Linked DNA regions of Bombyx mori. The protein of the gene in region 1 purifies or fractionates together with the protein of each later gene. This does not show direct contact. Links are inferred from orthologs where the notes say so. Each region holds a gene or a part of one and is shown on either strand. Other genes may lie near its edges.

The links.
Region 2: the proteins of U3 small nucleolar ribonucleoprotein protein IMP3 (region 1) and U3 small nucleolar RNA-associated protein 25 homolog purify together in Homo sapiens (affinity purification with mass spectrometry; 3 studies listed by BioGRID and IntAct, with this or other methods). This does not show direct contact. The link is inferred for Bombyx mori from reciprocal best matches to the Homo sapiens genes IMP3 and UTP25.
Region 3: the proteins of U3 small nucleolar ribonucleoprotein protein IMP3 (region 1) and something about silencing protein 10 purify together in Homo sapiens (affinity purification with mass spectrometry; 3 studies listed by BioGRID and IntAct, with this or other methods). This does not show direct contact. The link is inferred for Bombyx mori from reciprocal best matches to the Homo sapiens genes IMP3 and UTP3.

Annotation. Positions count from the first base shown.
Region 1 is NC_085121.1:981,482-986,277, forward strand, and holds U3 small nucleolar ribonucleoprotein protein IMP3, read right to left. Parts: upstream 2,997-4,796; coding exon 2,860-2,996; intron 2,558-2,859; coding exon 2,346-2,557; intron 2,307-2,345; exon of another isoform or gene 2,241-2,306; coding exon 2,065-2,240; intron 1,999-2,064; exon of another isoform or gene 1,869-1,998; intron 1,722-1,868; coding exon 1,698-1,721; 3' UTR 1,599-1,697; downstream 1-1,598. UniProt on the Homo sapiens protein: Component of the 60-80S U3 small nucleolar ribonucleoprotein (U3 snoRNP). Required for the early cleavages during pre-18S ribosomal RNA processing. Part of the small subunit (SSU) processome, first precursor of the small eukaryotic ribosomal subunit.
Region 2 is NC_085131.1:5,806,835-5,812,439, reverse strand, and holds the start of U3 small nucleolar RNA-associated protein 25 homolog, read left to right. Parts: upstream 1-1,780; 5' UTR 1,781-2,069; coding exon 2,070-2,504; intron 2,505-2,642; coding exon 2,643-3,242; intron 3,243-4,422; coding exon 4,423-4,665; intron 4,666-5,048; coding exon 5,049-5,323; intron 5,324-5,605. UniProt on the Homo sapiens protein: Component of the ribosomal small subunit processome for the biogenesis of ribosomes, functions in pre-ribosomal RNA (pre-rRNA) processing. Essential for embryonic development in part through the regulation of p53 pathway.
Region 3 is NC_085114.1:10,762,030-10,767,619, reverse strand, and holds the start of something about silencing protein 10, read right to left. Parts: upstream 3,826-5,590; 5' UTR 3,789-3,825; exon of another isoform or gene 3,464-3,788; 5' UTR 2,849-3,463; coding exon 2,832-2,848; intron 1,408-2,831; coding exon 18-1,407; 3' UTR 1-17. Other genes in the region: protein disulfide isomerase Creld2, read left to right, coding at 4,557-5,590. UniProt on the Homo sapiens protein: Essential for gene silencing: has a role in the structure of silenced chromatin. Plays a role in the developing brain. Part of the small subunit (SSU) processome, first precursor of the small eukaryotic ribosomal subunit.

The sequences.
Region 1 (4,796 bases):
AATAATTCCCCCAATATATATCGCTCCCTGCGTTCCCGCCAAAAATCACTAATCCCTACGCTTTTCTATGCAATGCGCTCACATGATGGCGATGATTTTCCAAGCCCAACGATGCCAGGCATAGATAGATTACCCATATCTTAGTATTCGAGATGCCAGGTGTAGGTATTATAATTGCAGTAAATTTACTGTTATTTTTTTGCTATCACCGTCTACTGTATTGCAAAAATAGTGTATTAAAATATTTATGAATTTCAGGCTTAAAAACTTTTAGACAAAAAGCAGTGTAGGCATGTGAATATATGCAGAGGGAAATCCCCGCGAAACAGTTTCTTTCAATTGAATTAATGGTATCTTCTGTACTTTCATGGGCACTAAAGATTTATAGACAATTATTATTCTACAAAACATAATTTAACAAAAAGTAAATCAATTGGTACTTATTTTCCTTTAGATTTGTTTTAAAAAATTGCGGTAGCACTGTGAGATTCTTATCTTTACGTAACTTCCTTACACATTTCGGTCGTATTAATTCAAGGTTATTCAGCTAAACAAATAATCGGTTGGAGAAAGTGATAATGAAGGATTCCCTACACCTAAAAGAAAAATAAATTATAAACAATCCCGCGATAAGTTACGGCATAAAAATTTCAAAGTGTGTGTGACATGATTAATATCCATAAGGGGATTAATGTGTCTCTAGCGACACATCGATGATTGCTAACATGTGGGCATTGAAACGCCACAGTGAATTGCACAAACGTATCAAGGCATTTCGGATCCTCCCGATCCACTATCGGCGCTTTTAGGTACCTCAAGCACCGGTCAATGTGCTCGTCGAACTCGTCGCTTGCGACTAAGGGCTCGGCAAATTAACCCTCAGACACACACATTCCACTGAGTTTCTCTCCGGATCTTCTCAGAGAGTCGCGTTTCCGATCCGGTGGTAGATTCTGCGAAACCATGTTCTTGCCAGAGCTAGTGTTAGCAACTTCGTCAGGTTAGAGCCCCGTAAGCTCACCTACTCGCCCGGTGTTGAACTGGCATAACCCCTCAAGCATAGGCAGGAAAACAACACAAACGTATTTTTAAAAGTCAAACTTCGGAACTGCGGAAATAAAGTTAGCAACTTTTGTGACAGCTTGGAAGTTAGAGTATCTAGTGGGGTCATAGATTATCTAATTGAGATTTGCTGCAAACATTTTATGGTTCTGAGATTGCAAATAATGAAACTCAAAGCAGATCATTATAAATCAAACCCAGAAAATTATAATTTGCATAATTACTGGTGGTAGGTAGGATGTCTTAGATTTTGTTGTATTTCAACAAATATTGTAAATTTTTATAGCTTATGATCAAAATGGTTACAATACAGATCATATTTAAAGTAAACCATCAACACTGGTAGATCCTGTATTAAATGAAGTTTACCTTAAGATCATTGAAGTTACACTTTAAACAAGTTATATTGGTGGAATACTATACATAGAGCACAAAGGAATGTATGTATTTTATGATTCTTTGAAAGGAAAGAATCATTTATCTATATTTTAAATAAAAATGACTTCAAGGCGAAATAAAAATTTAAACTAAAATAGTGTGCATTAAAAAGTGTATTGGTACTTTCACTTGTTGTTGTGGTAACAGTACAGAATCTTAAAATAAGTATTCTTATATAACTAAAGCCTTATATAAAATTATAACATATCGAAGTCATCTCTCTGTAAAAGAAAAAAAAAGAAATATTAGTTTAAGTTTCTTCCGTTTTATCTATGCAAACACATCCATGTCTTTGTTAATGACAATGTTATAAATAATTGATCCCTATATAATGTTTTCATTTTTTTTTAATTTCATATCAAAACCAGTGTGACATTATGCTGTGGACAAGTTCTAAAATTTATTTAATGCATTACTGCTTTCCATTTAACAAAAGTTGTTTTTCACAACTATTCTAAACCTCTACGCAGAGCTTTTTCACAATTATATTATCAATATGTAAGTAAACTTAGAAATATGAATAAACATTAAAAAGTTTAATGAATGTGTATTGTGTATACTAACCATTTCATTATATTCCAGAACATGTTTTCTTATTGCTGAACCATCAACCCATGTAACAAAGTCCTCCAGTGATCTGTTGACAAGGAATGCAGGATCCTTCACTACTTCAGGTCCCACTCTTACATGTCCTTGTTCAATAAACTTTGTGGCTTCTTTAATAGTTTCTGACATTTTATCTGTGCATTTATAAACATCAATAATTATAAATGACATTTATTAATAAAAATGCAAATTCCAAGAAATATGTTATTGTAATGTTTATTGAAACAAGTGATACTCACTTCGAACCATCAACACAGGCAGCCTTCGCCTACAGAAAGAACTGGCAGAGACATTAGTGGCCAAGGCAAGATCCCATCTTGTCGGTATCAATCCAATTTGGTAAAGTTTTTCCAAAAGTTGAGCACTTGACTCTGTCCTGAATTCATTATTTGGATCGAGGTCTTTTATCTTGTTTGCGAGCTCTCTGATATCACGAGACAATTTGTTATACCTAACAATTCACACAATAATAGTTTTAGATTTATTATTAATTGTATTTTACATCAATTAATGGACAGTTTATATCTAAAGCGGCCAAATTCCCGCTTTCTGTGGAACCCTCCTGTAGAACCAGTTGTAAATTTAGGATACTAAAGTAAAATATTTGACTCAAATACGACTTCAGTGTGCTGAATTTAGAATTTAGGCATAACGACCGATATTCCCTATTAACAAAGTCTCAGACATTTCATTTAAATAAAACTGGCTGTCTCATAATATAATACATAGCTCATAATTGCAAAATTGCCTTACTTTGTGTAATCCTCACGCTTTTGTATACAAAACTTTTTCATAACCTTCACTTCACTAATATTGTTATCCAACTTCCATGATATAAAGTCTACTTTCTTTAGCAGTTTCCCTTCATGAAATTTAAGTTTTCTGACCATTTTGGGAACACCGAGCACAAGGATATAGGTTATGTAGTGTTTCTGCTTATATAAAAAATAATAATAAAATAAAAAATGTAACAGAACATTGATTATAAAGTCGTTTGTCAAAACCAATGAAGTAGGAAACCTATGGAAATGAAACGTCAACCAAAATTTCGTGCCCCTGTGACGTCATCTGGCCACAAAACATGGCGGCTTTAGTGCTGTACAAAAGATTTCAATGTTATCAGGTTTTATCGATAAACGTTCTTGGCTCATTTTATTTTAAATATTGTTGAGTATTATTTATTTGTAGAATTTATACTTTAATGGGAAGTAAGTAGGTATATTGTTATGTGCAAATATGATATGATTTAGATGGGTGAAATCTAAGACAAGTTCGTCCTTCGAATTTGCCAAGTAAACGATATGATGATTTTTAAAAGTTGCTACATTGATTTTATAAAGTTGTCGTTTGTCGCAAAACATAAAGATATGGCGTAGTTCAAAGCCATCAGCCCATTTCTAGCATGCTAAATGTTATCGTATTTTGAGTTGTGTTTTTCTTAGGCTATAACAATCTATTTTAATTGTTTTGCTGACTCTAAAGTCCGTAACATACTACCGCAGCGCACCCCAAGGAAGGTGCGCCGCACCATTTGAATCACTTTCGCTTGAGAGTGATTCAAATTTTAAACTTATCAAGGGACCGCGTGAAAAAAAAAACACCTACAGAACATTTATTCATTAATTACAAACGTCATTCCTTGTGACTTCCTCTCTAGAATCACTTAATTATGAAATATTTAACAAATTTACAATAGTGTTTTCCTCACTGCGGAATAAAACTATTTTATTTAAATAGTTCCGAAGAGATTTTGTCGGTAGCCTTTTTCCCGAAATATCTAAACAGAATGTCTAAATATGTTTTGATGACATATTTTAAAGTGGTATTTATGATTAGTGTCATGATCAATAGATTCCGACCGAAAAATGGATTTTTCGGATGAGGGCTCCATAATGAATTTAAATACATATAGATAATAGTTTTAGGGCATCGACTTTCTTGAGATCCTATAAAATACGTTTTAATTATTATTTTTGTATGTTTTAAGCATGATAAATTATGAAATTTTATATAATCAATCATATTAAATCGATATCAAAGTCAATAAATAATGTACAACCCAAAACAGACGGCCGAACTGACGTGACAATGACATTTGGCGCGCTAAACATGGCGGATTTTCGGCCTCATTAGACGGAGACGGAGATATTTACGTATATTCATGTTTCATTTTATGTACGCACTGAAATACTGTTATATTGTTTTCCTGCGAGTTAAAGTGCTGAGTAAGAACGAGATAGATATATGTTTATGTATGTGCCTTCAAAATGGGTGCTATTTATATAAGCAATTGTACGTATAGAACAATATGTCGTGTCCCTACTATATAGGTCTATGGTCAAAACTGAGTGGTTCTACGCGCTGGAAAGGCGAAGGTATCAGACCATACTCGCCATCTTTTAAATTTTTTGTTAAATAAAATATACAAGAGTGGAGAATTATATTATTATGTATGAAATGAAGCGAGTTTATTTATTTGGGACTATAATGAATTGTGATGAAATGAAATGAAACGAGATAAGATGGGATCAAATATGCTCTCAGTAAAATTGTTTTTAAGTGAAGAAACACTAAATTAAAATAAATATTTTTGTTTTTCTCTAAGCTATTTAAGCTCTCTTTTTCTCTAAGCTGTTTAAATAAACAGCTTAGAGATTTCGCGAAACAAGCCCAGGATATGAAGATATTAT
Region 2 (5,605 bases), on another chromosome or scaffold:
GCTGGTGCCCCGGAATACCCCGCTGGACCAGAACCAGCCTGCCGGGTCGGGACGCGATACACTGCCAACCGGTCGCTCTTAGTAGTATTAGATGTAGTTTGACCTGGCTTTGGATTTCGGATATTGATACTGCAGTACTGTTGACCCTTGCTTGTTAATTTAGACAGTGTTTATGCCTTGTGGATTTCGTCGATATGGCCGAACGTACGCAGAGAATTGTTCTAAATAGTCAGACACGTGAATTCAAAATTCAAATTCAAAATCATTTATTTCAACTTAGATGTCAGTATAACACACTTGTTGAATGTCAAAATATAAATAACAATGTTAACTCTACCACCGGTTCCAAAAGTCCTGAGAAGAACCGAAACAAACTCAGCAGTGAGTTCGTTATACGCCTTCGTAAACTATTTCGATCGTGAATCTCAAAATGAAGGGCCAATTTTACCTGTAACGTCAGTGGTTGAACGCGCAGCTGATGCGCTTAATATTGGACAACGAATTGTAAGACGAATAACTAAAGAAAAATATGGCGAAACTGGCACAGAAGAAAGTAAACTTAAAGATTAATTATATTTTTTTCGCGAATAAATTATTTCACATCACTATTGTAATATGTCAAAACGGCCATCATAGCGTGCCGATAGTGCAATGACAGAAGAACGAAGTTATAGAAGGTATAGATGTACATACAAACAACATCAAATAGTTATTTAATATTATCTACTTAAATACAAAATAAATAACAATAACGTTGTGTACAAATTCAGCACTTTGTCTTGTTTTGTCGTGCGCACAAAACTTATGTTGCAAGCCAGATTTTGTTTCTTTTTACTTGTGTTTTTATGTATCTTTTTAGCTTGTGATGTGTATTGTGTGCCTAATAAATAAGTAACTAAATAAAATATATGGATATTATGGATATAGGTATATATATAATTTAGTAAACATTATTTATTAGATTAATAATCATTGTATACCTTTATTTTACTTCTTTAAAATGGTTAAAATTTAAACGTTTTGTCATTTTTTATGGATCTCTCTGAATATTGTTGTTAATAGTACATCGCAAGATACCTGTCTTATCTTTTTAAGAATTTATTTAAGTAAAAACGCTTTGTTGGAGTTTGAATATGAAAGTAATGGCAGGCAACACTTGACACATGTAAGGTTACGGTTTTCGAATATTGGAATGCATAATTAAATGCTTAAAACAAATAATTGTCTTCTCTTATGTGATGACAAAAACTTCTCATCTAGACACGGTCAGAGCAACATCTTAGAGTTTTATAAAAATAAAATATTGTAATGGTGTAATAGTGTACAAAGTATTTTCAATATAATTACCTATTTTAACCATGAAGAGAGTGCTTTTAAATAGCCCCTCACCTCCAGAACCCAGTCCCCTCAAATTTGACCGTCCAACACGCTTAAAGATTAATTTTAGTGATAAGAGCGCCTCTTGTACAAATTAACTTATTTTCAATGAATATATTTAGGTTGGATGTGCAATAACTTTATGTTTTCTTTTTTTCTCTTTACAAAACATAAATACTTCGTGGAAAAAGGGTTTTTGAATGAAATTATATGAGCGCGAATAAAATACAGTCATGGTTTCATTTTATACTTGTACATTTTCACAAATTTTAGAGGTTAATAGTAATAGATTAATAGTGGGGCATTCTAAAAAATGACTAAAATGTTTTGTTCCAATAAAATCATTTTGGCCGTATTTGGGCTATGTTCCCTTTGCGTGTCCGTTGAATGAATTCAATAAAAAATATATTCCATGTGAGTGCTCCCCTTCCCCTCTCGGATATAAGTGTTTATTTTATGATATTACGAGCCTATGACTTACTTAGTACATATAATAGGTAATAGGTACCGTATTTAAGTAATAATCACTGAGCCAGTAATCACTACCGTACGTAATAATTACCTACCAATCATCTGATTCATAGTCATAGTTAAGACTCGAATATATTAAGTGTATAAATCTTTGGTTATACATACACTTGTTGCACTCTGAGATATTATGTTTAATACCCATGACTTGTTGACTTAAAATAATGAAGGGAAAGAAATACTTTGGTAAAAAGAAGACAATAAAAGACCACATTAGTAAAAAGAAAAGAAAAAGTTCCAATGATACATATGTTACAAATAAAAAGGCTAAATTCAATCGATACAAAAATGTACAAAAGGTTGAGGAAGAGCTTGAAAAGAAAAAGCAGATGGAACGGAAGTTTCAAAGGGAACAAGAAGCTTATTCTGAAAGCGAAGAGGAACAAGATGTATACGGGCAACTGGTGTCTTGTTTTAGTAAACCAACAAACGCAATAGTAGTAAATAGTGACGAAGAAGTAGATTCTGATAGCCCCAGCCCTGAAATTGAAAGTTGTGCTCGTAAACGTGCTCGAAATGAGGAAGTTAGTAAGACCGAGAGTGACAGTGACTATAGTGATAGCGAAGACAATGCAAAGGGCCAAGATTTTGATAACACTGTAAGTCAAACTTGTTATATTCTCTGATTGTTATAAGAGACTTTATAAAATAAATTGTAAAGTAATGACATTGAATTAGTTCATATTTGCAGGTTAAACGTCTACAGAAAAAAGTTCTTAATTTTTCATTCATTTCAGGCTACTTTTGAAACAGAATTAGACCACGAAACTGATGATTCGTTCGTAAAACATCTACAATATGATTTACCTGATGAGTTGCTGATTTCATTAAACAACTCGCCCATGACAGTTTCTACTATTTCAAAGACATGGCCAGTGATTGGTAACATAACTATTGTTATACCTAGACCAATTGAAACAGCAATAAAGAAAGTTAAAGCTAAAATATCATTATTGGAAGATAAAACTTTTGCTGAACCCGGTACAGCACCTAGTCTTATTCACAAGGTTGATTTTGAAGAATTGAAAATAAAATCACAAATACATGGAAACATTGTCTCGGCGAATAAAACTAGTTTGGTAAAGAGAGATCTTGAACTATCTGAAGTTTTAACTCCATTACAAAAAGAAATTTTTTCAATACTCAACAACTATCAGGATTTGTATTACCCTGAAAGAACATTTAGTAATGCTGATGAAATTCGTTACATATATTGTCTTCATGCCATCAACCATATGCTGAAGACCAGAACACGAATTTTACATCATAATGCGAAATTGATAAAGAAAAATGATATTTCCGATGATTATAGAGATCAAGGATTAGTTCGTCCCAAGGTAATAGTTTTAGCAACTGACAATTTTTTTATGGTTTTTTGAAATGAATCTGATAATTACAGATATTACACTTCTAGATATTTTACTAATTGGCATGGCAGCTTTTGTGAGGTCAACCTGATGTTAAATGCATACTAGAGCCCATAGACATTAATGTGAATGCCTCCACTGACACCCCACTTTAAGGCATAAGGTTATGAACATAAAGTCTCAATCAAACTGTATAACGGCAATCCTACCTTGGGATTGCTGAACTGCAGAAAATAGGCAAGATAGTTGTGTCTAAATGTGTGGGCTTACAGTACTTTTTAAAGCCAAGAAACACACAAATTTATAAGAAGTTTTCTAAGGCTGTTCCCCTGCTGGCATTGCTGATATCCGTGAGCGACGGTAACCACTGACCATCATGTGGGCCGTGCATTCGTCTGCCTACAAAGGCAATGAAAAACTGAAAAAGTCTGACATAATAGAGTAAATAACAGCATGGGAATAACAGCACATCAAACTGTTGTCTATATCCAAAAATCTTCAAAAGTATTTGAAGGACACACAGAGTAGATAGACCCTTATAAACTTTGCTAAGAGACATGAGGAGGCTAATTTGAGCTGTAACTAAAGAATTGATCTTTCGGCTTATATAGGCTTGCAGTGTATAGGCCACTCGGTTCCCTTTATTAGTTGCTGAAAATTAGCAGTTGGCTTGAAGGCTTAATTATTATTATTATTAACACTTTATTTCAGTGTTTTTTTTTTTTTTTAAAACCATAACATTTTGTTAGTAATAATTACTTATAATCTATGTTAGTAACTTAAAAAATGAGAGGGGCGATAGTGGTGACCGTATTGGAGTTTATGGTCTGAGCCAGTACATAATGAGATAATTCAAAGGTTGTGAATCCTTAGTAACTCCTCTTTTCACTTTTATTAAAGTTCTTGTTGCTTAAAATTACTCTAATTTAACATTGTAATATATTTTCAGAACTAATTTTACCATTTAAAATTGGGATTATTATTTTCATTTCTAATATATAAATGTAAATACATAATAACAAAACTACTTTTACAAATTAGTTTGAGATCTAGCTAGCCTTAATTATGTCTATAATTATGAAAATACTGAATTTGTGTTGTTATGTTTAATAAGTTTGAATTGCAATTAAAATACATCTCTAATTTTAAGGTACTAGTAATGGTTCCATTCAAAAATGCAGCTTACAGAGTAGTGAAAACCTTAATGGAAATTTTGGTGCCAAAAGAGGCTGGTCAGGTGCTCAATAAAAAAAGATTTGAAGACGAGTTTACAGGAGGTGAACTTATCATGCCACGTAAAAATCCAAAGCCTGAGGACTATGAACTCATGTTCACTGGCAACACAGATGATACATTCAGGATAGGCATGACGGTCACCAAGAAAAGTCTTAAGGTAAACCTAAATTTATCTGTGCAAAGTTAATTTTGAGTAAGAAATCTGAACAGTAATAAAGGTAATACAAAACATAGCATTCACACATTTCACATAAAATTGTCAACACAGTATATTTACCAAAGACATTTCATTTAAAAAAATATACTGCATTTTTTCCTTAAATATGCATCAGTATATGTTGTCCCTAAATTTGTAAGTATGAAAAAGTGAAAGCGAATAATTAATTGGTACACAACAAATTTGTATATTTATAATTGTTTATTAAAATATTTAAATTTCAGTTTGTTTCCCATAATCTTGTTTCACAAATGAAGTTAGTAATGTGGACGGGACTGGATGTAAAATTAATGATCAGATTGTAAATTAATTTAAATTATCAGTTATATACAGATTTTTACTCATCAGACATCATAGTCGCATCACCACTTGGTCTACGAATGTTGGTCGGAGCTGAAGGGGAGGAAGACAGAGATTATGATTTTTTGGCTTCCATAGAAATTTTGATTATGGATCAAGCGGATGTGTTCTTAATGCAGAATTGGGATCATTTGCTACATGTTCTTGACCATTTTCATCTTCAACCAAAGAAAACGCACGATACTGACTTCTCTAGAGTCAGATCGTGGGCAGTCAACGGATGGGCTAAATATTACAGGTAAGGTCATTTCTAAAGATTCATCAATGTTTGAATGTTTATTCAATGTTGTGTAATTTAATATATTCTTTTTATGGTTTTAAAGTCGAACCTGCTAGTCTGTAAACTAACAGACCCCCTTATACTGATCGTGTACATCGATGCTCATGGATATCAGTATTGCCAGGATCACATTAGAGTTGCTTCGCACCGCATATGAATGCAAATTTTAGAACTCTTTATCCACAGGATTTCACAGATTGAGAGTTCAGAGTTCTTATGATTTTAAGATATCTATCGTAA
Region 3 (5,590 bases), on another chromosome or scaffold:
TCAATAAATACATTTCTTTACTTGATTGTTATGCTCTTTTTCAAATTTGCTTTTATGCCTGATGATTCACCACCATATCTGGACACTTCTGTCTTAGGTTCCCTCACTGCACCCTTCCTTCTGATTTTAGCCTTTCTGTATTTAAGTTTATGTTTGACTCTTGGGTTTCTTTGATCTTTCTTTCGATGGGGTGTCAACCCTTTATTCTTTGCAATTTGATATGTTATTTCTCTTTTCATTCCAAGATCTTCTGTAACAATTTGTTGAGATGATGTTGATGGTTTATTATGGTCAACTTCTGTTTCACCAAGTACAGTATCTTCATTATCTGAAAAACCACTTTCTTCAGATTCATTACTTCTTGGCACATTTTCAACTTTATCGTTATCTTTAAAGTAATCATTCCCTTCATATTCTTCATCATCAGATACTCCAGTGTCTTCTCCTTCATCTTTTTCTATTGCACTGATAAGTTTCAATTTCTTGGGAGTTGATTCTGAAATAAGTTTTTCTAACTTGCGTTTCTTAGCTTCTTTTTGTTCATTTACTTCCAAAACAAGGTTGTTCTTCACAGCCAGAAGAATTTTATCTATTTGCGGTTTAATTACTTCCAAATATATCGGTTCCATTTTATTCAACATTTGTCTGTACTGATACAACCTTTTTATAACTGGATGATTTTGAATGTTTACTCGCTGACTCTTTAGAAGCAAATAAAAACTAATATTTGTACAATAATTTAGAATTAGATCATAGTTTGTTTTTACAAACTTTGATGCTGCACATTTTGGTAATTTGCCATCTTTTACTAATTCCAAGACTGGATGTAGGTTATCTTTAGCTACAGTAAGTTTTGTTTGGAAGTCATCAACAAGACCTGAAAACTCAGGACTTTCCTTTTCAAACAATTGTAGCTTTTGTCTTTTTGACAACTGGCTCAAATCACTTTTTATTACTGTTTCTCTTTCTTCAGCGTCTTGTACATGTTTAGTAAAGAAATCCAAGGTAAAATCTTCATCTCCAAGTTGTTCTAGCAATCTCTTCTGAATATTCTTAGCCTCCTCTTCTTCCATAAGAGCAGCTTCTTCATCATCACCGAAGCCTCCATAATCTTTGTCAACATAATCAGTGGCATAGTATGATTGTTTATTTTTGCCCCAAGCTTTTGAATCAGGTAAGTCATCGTCTGATTTTTCCTGTCCTTCAACATCACTGTCTGCTATTCCCAAATCATCCTTTTGATCTGATTCCTCGTCAGAATCAGAGAAAGCATACATTTCCTCTTCACTATCAGACTCATGTTTTCTCTTACGTACTTTATCCAATAATCGCTTTTCATTTTCAGAATAACCATCTTCTGAATCTGAAGGGGCATAATTCTCTTTTTGGTCAAATCTTGAATTTATTCTGAAAAGTAGATAAATTTCATGATAAAAAATAATAATTATGTGTGGTTTGGTTGTGACAACTAATAAGGAATAAGAATCAACTATTGCCTTTATGCAGTGTAAAGTATACAGCCTGCCTTTCAGAATTTACTCAACTTTAGGGTCGTAAGATCAAATCTTTTGCCAGGCTAAATTATATTGAAACAACAACTGAAAGGCTTCTCTTTTTAGATATTAAAATTTTTATAAGTGAGCAGATGTACTCCTAGCCCACACAAAACATGAATTCACACACCCACCATAGGACATAACATTAAAAGTTAAATTCTATAATATGAGGCCTGTCTTCCCCATTAATAAAACAGGGGATTAGTTTGCACCAGAAATGGTCAAGATAGGTAGACTTACAATACAGAGTGTATTCAACCAACAGTTACATATATACTTAGGAAAATTGGTACACTGGCAAATTCATTTTTTGCATAGTCACATCGTTTGACGTTAATAGATTTGTTGTCATTAAGCTACATGTGCAGAATAAAGCATACAGAAATAACTATGATTACAAGATGAGTTTGTTATAACACACATAATAGTGTAAGGAAAACTTCTAATAAGGCTTATGTGAATAAGTGATGGGAAATGCAACATCTGCATTTTGCATCTATTTTGTATACTTAGTGGGGTGGATTTTACAAACACCATCCTTACACTCCTGAAAATTCAACAAGGAGCTCTGCTTGGATAAAAACCTTCAGTTTAGGCTCCTAGCAGAAGTTCAGTTTAGGTTCCTAGCAGAAGACGGTCCTATTGTAAATAAATCCTATTTACAATAGGATACCTGTTGTAAATAAATCTTTACATGTTCCCTGACTAGCAATTGCACAAACTAATATTCTTATTATAATGGAATGCCTGGTTACTTAAAGGTAACCCGTTGCTTTTAGACTTTAGGTTGTTTGTTTACACCTTAAATTCGTAATTATATTGATAAAAAGATAATCTCTGAAATAAATAAAGCTTGTTACTTAAAGCAGACATTATTTTACATTTAAAGAAATAATGGGAGGTAACACTAGATTCAGTAATGTATACAATCAGATCGCAGTGTTTATTTTAGAAAGAAAAAAAACATCGTTTTCTGGTTATAAGGTAGTTCTTAATTAGATAGTATAATTATTCATAGAGTATCTCACGTGCTAGTAGTGTATGGCACTAATAAATTTTAAGTTATGAACATAAAATAGAAATTAACCTTAAGGGAACAGTTTTTATAAGAAAATTGATTTTGTGATTCTCTACATTTAAACTGATGGTGAGAAATGTGCTTTAGAAAACTTATCTGCATAGTGTTATTTGCTTATGTAAAAGTGTTATTCGTTTTATAGCATTTTATTCCAAATGGTTAAACGTTATTTATTTTTATAAGACAGTCATATTTACCTTATTTTATCAGCCATCACGTCGATATCATAAAGTTTTAAAATATTTTAAATTGAAACTAACACGACACTCCGCAAGGCTAAGGTTATTTTTGTAGCAAATTGAATCATTCGTGAATATTACATATTACGCATATTATTACCGTAATTAATGTACATACGGGACAAGAAATGAGGAAAGGTTTGAATCTTGGTACTCAACAGCATGACAACCAAAACTTTAACAAAAAGTATTTTTTCTTTTACAATGTCTAGAAATTAGCGATAGCCAATGTATGTAGGCTTTTCTTTTTTTATGGGATTTTATGACCTGGTAACTGAGACCTTTAAGTCATGTCTTATTTTAATTTATATTCATATTTTTATGAAAAATGATATTAAGGAGTGAAATTAAATGAAATTATTAATTTGAGACATTAATCAACTGGGATGAAATTAAATGAAATGAAATGGGATGAAATATAATCAAAGTAAAATGGTGGTCATTTACTAAGATTTTTTCAGTGGACTTTTTGACGGATCCCGAGAAGTTACGTCCAGCGGCTTTGTGTCATTTTCCCACATTTGTGCACTTTCACAGATATTAAAAAGTTAATAAACCACCATTATTACACATTTAAACCCGAAGAAACACTAAATAGACAAAATAAAACAAATCACACAACTTCACTCCTCGCGTTCCCGCCAAAAAGTCTCCAATGTTGGCCTAATCTATACCATAGATAATACACTTTATACTTTGTACTATGGAGGGTAGAGGTAAGGAGAACCGTCTCATATGGGAGGAAGCTTGAAAAAGCGTCCCACTTTCAGCACTAAATAATAGTTCAAAAATCCTCCAGAATGGCGCTAGCATATAGGCAGAGGTATAATATGAATTGAGCAGTTTCCTCTATCATATTCTAATAACTTTCAGCGCCTTTTTTAAAATTTACCCGGTTGTTACTGTAGCACTAACCTTACTTAGCAGATTTTAACGGACACTTTTTACACACAGAGACGGTTCTCCTTACCTCTACCCTCCATAAACTGACAGTAGAATTCATTTCCCAAAATGAAAGGCCTTATCACACAACAACATTACATACCTCAGGAGGTGACTAGCGCTTCCGCGCGCACTATAAATAAAACAATTTCTGTTAAAACAATTATTATAAGTTAGAGTAATAGAAGTGGGTCATACTTTTCTGGCGTTTAAGAACGCACTTTTTTGTGATGCGTAAGCCAGAGCGTACGAGAGGTGGAAAAAAGAAGATAGTCTGTGACACGGGACCTTTTTACCGCCGAAAATTTAAAAACGAAAAATGAAATATAATGTATATTAATTTAATATAAAACTCCGATTGTTTCAACTGTGATGTTAATTACATAAAACATGATTTTACGGCGAAATAAAGAAGGGACTCTGTATGGATTCCCTCACTTTAAAACCCAAATATGTAAGCGCCGCGCCGGGGCATTCCACAGGTTTTTAAAATGTCACTAAGTAAGGTGTCTCGTGTCTCCCCCTGGTACGCGCAGAGTAAGTAAATCTAGAAAATCAATATTGTGTTACACAGAGAAGAGAAGTCTTAACTCGATTTAGGTACTTTGTGACGCTGGCTTACCTACTTAAATTTGAATCAATTTTTAAATTTAATGGTGTTTGTTAAATTGCAACTTGCGAGTGAAGACTACAATATTAACTTGAATACAATACAAACACCTAGTTTCTACGAATCTCAAGATGCTTAATAATTTTCAATATTTAATGGACCCCAACTCTTACAAATATCTTTGGTTGTGCTTATTATTTAGTTGTCAAGTAATACTGTGTAAGGAAATTAGTACACCATCAACCGATAAAAATATTAATGTATTGAATGAGTGTCAGCAATGTAAAGTTCTGACAGACTCCTTCAATTACTGGTTTAAAAAAACATCACGAGGAAAATACGAAGGGGGCGATGTTGCTTGGGAAGAAGCTAAACTAAAAACCTATGCACGAAGTGAGGTTCGTTTGGTAGAAATTCAAGAAGGTTTATGTTCTGAACTAAAGGCTAATAAAGATCAATGCTACTCTTTAGCAGATGTAGCTGAAAATGTATTAGAAAACTGGTATTACAGTGAAGATCATGATACTGTTAATTTGTATACATGGCTGTGTATTCAGAAATTACAAAACTGCTGTCCTCTGTCCCATTATGGAGAATCCTGTTCTCCTTGCCCACATAATTTAAACAATGAAATTTGTAGTGGAAATGGTAAATGTCACGGAGATGGTACAAGGGAGGGCAACGGAACTTGCATTTGTAAAAGTGGATATTCTGGCAATTTATGTGAAGAATGTGCTGAAAAATTCTTTTCTGAAAATGCCAGTTGTAGACCTTGTCATGCAGCATGTGCCGCTTGTACAGGAGAGAGTTTAGATGACTGTATTACATGCAGTAATGGTTGGGAAATGCAAGAAAATACTTGTGTGGATATTAATGAGTGTGCATTGCCACAGGTATGTGAGAATGATGATTATTGTATAAATCAAGAAGGCACCTTTTTATGTGAAAAATGTGATGATTCCTGCAAAACATGTACAGGACCAGGAAGAAAAAATTGTTCAACATGCAGAGAAAGTGACATATTAATATCAGGGATGTGTTTGAATGAATCTCAAAAAAATAAAATTGTAAATGATGCCAAGAAAAGAGTTTTAACATATTTTGGATTGTTATTACTGACAAAAGTTACTTTCCGATCATCTAAAATTTTAGCAGCTGTGGTTGT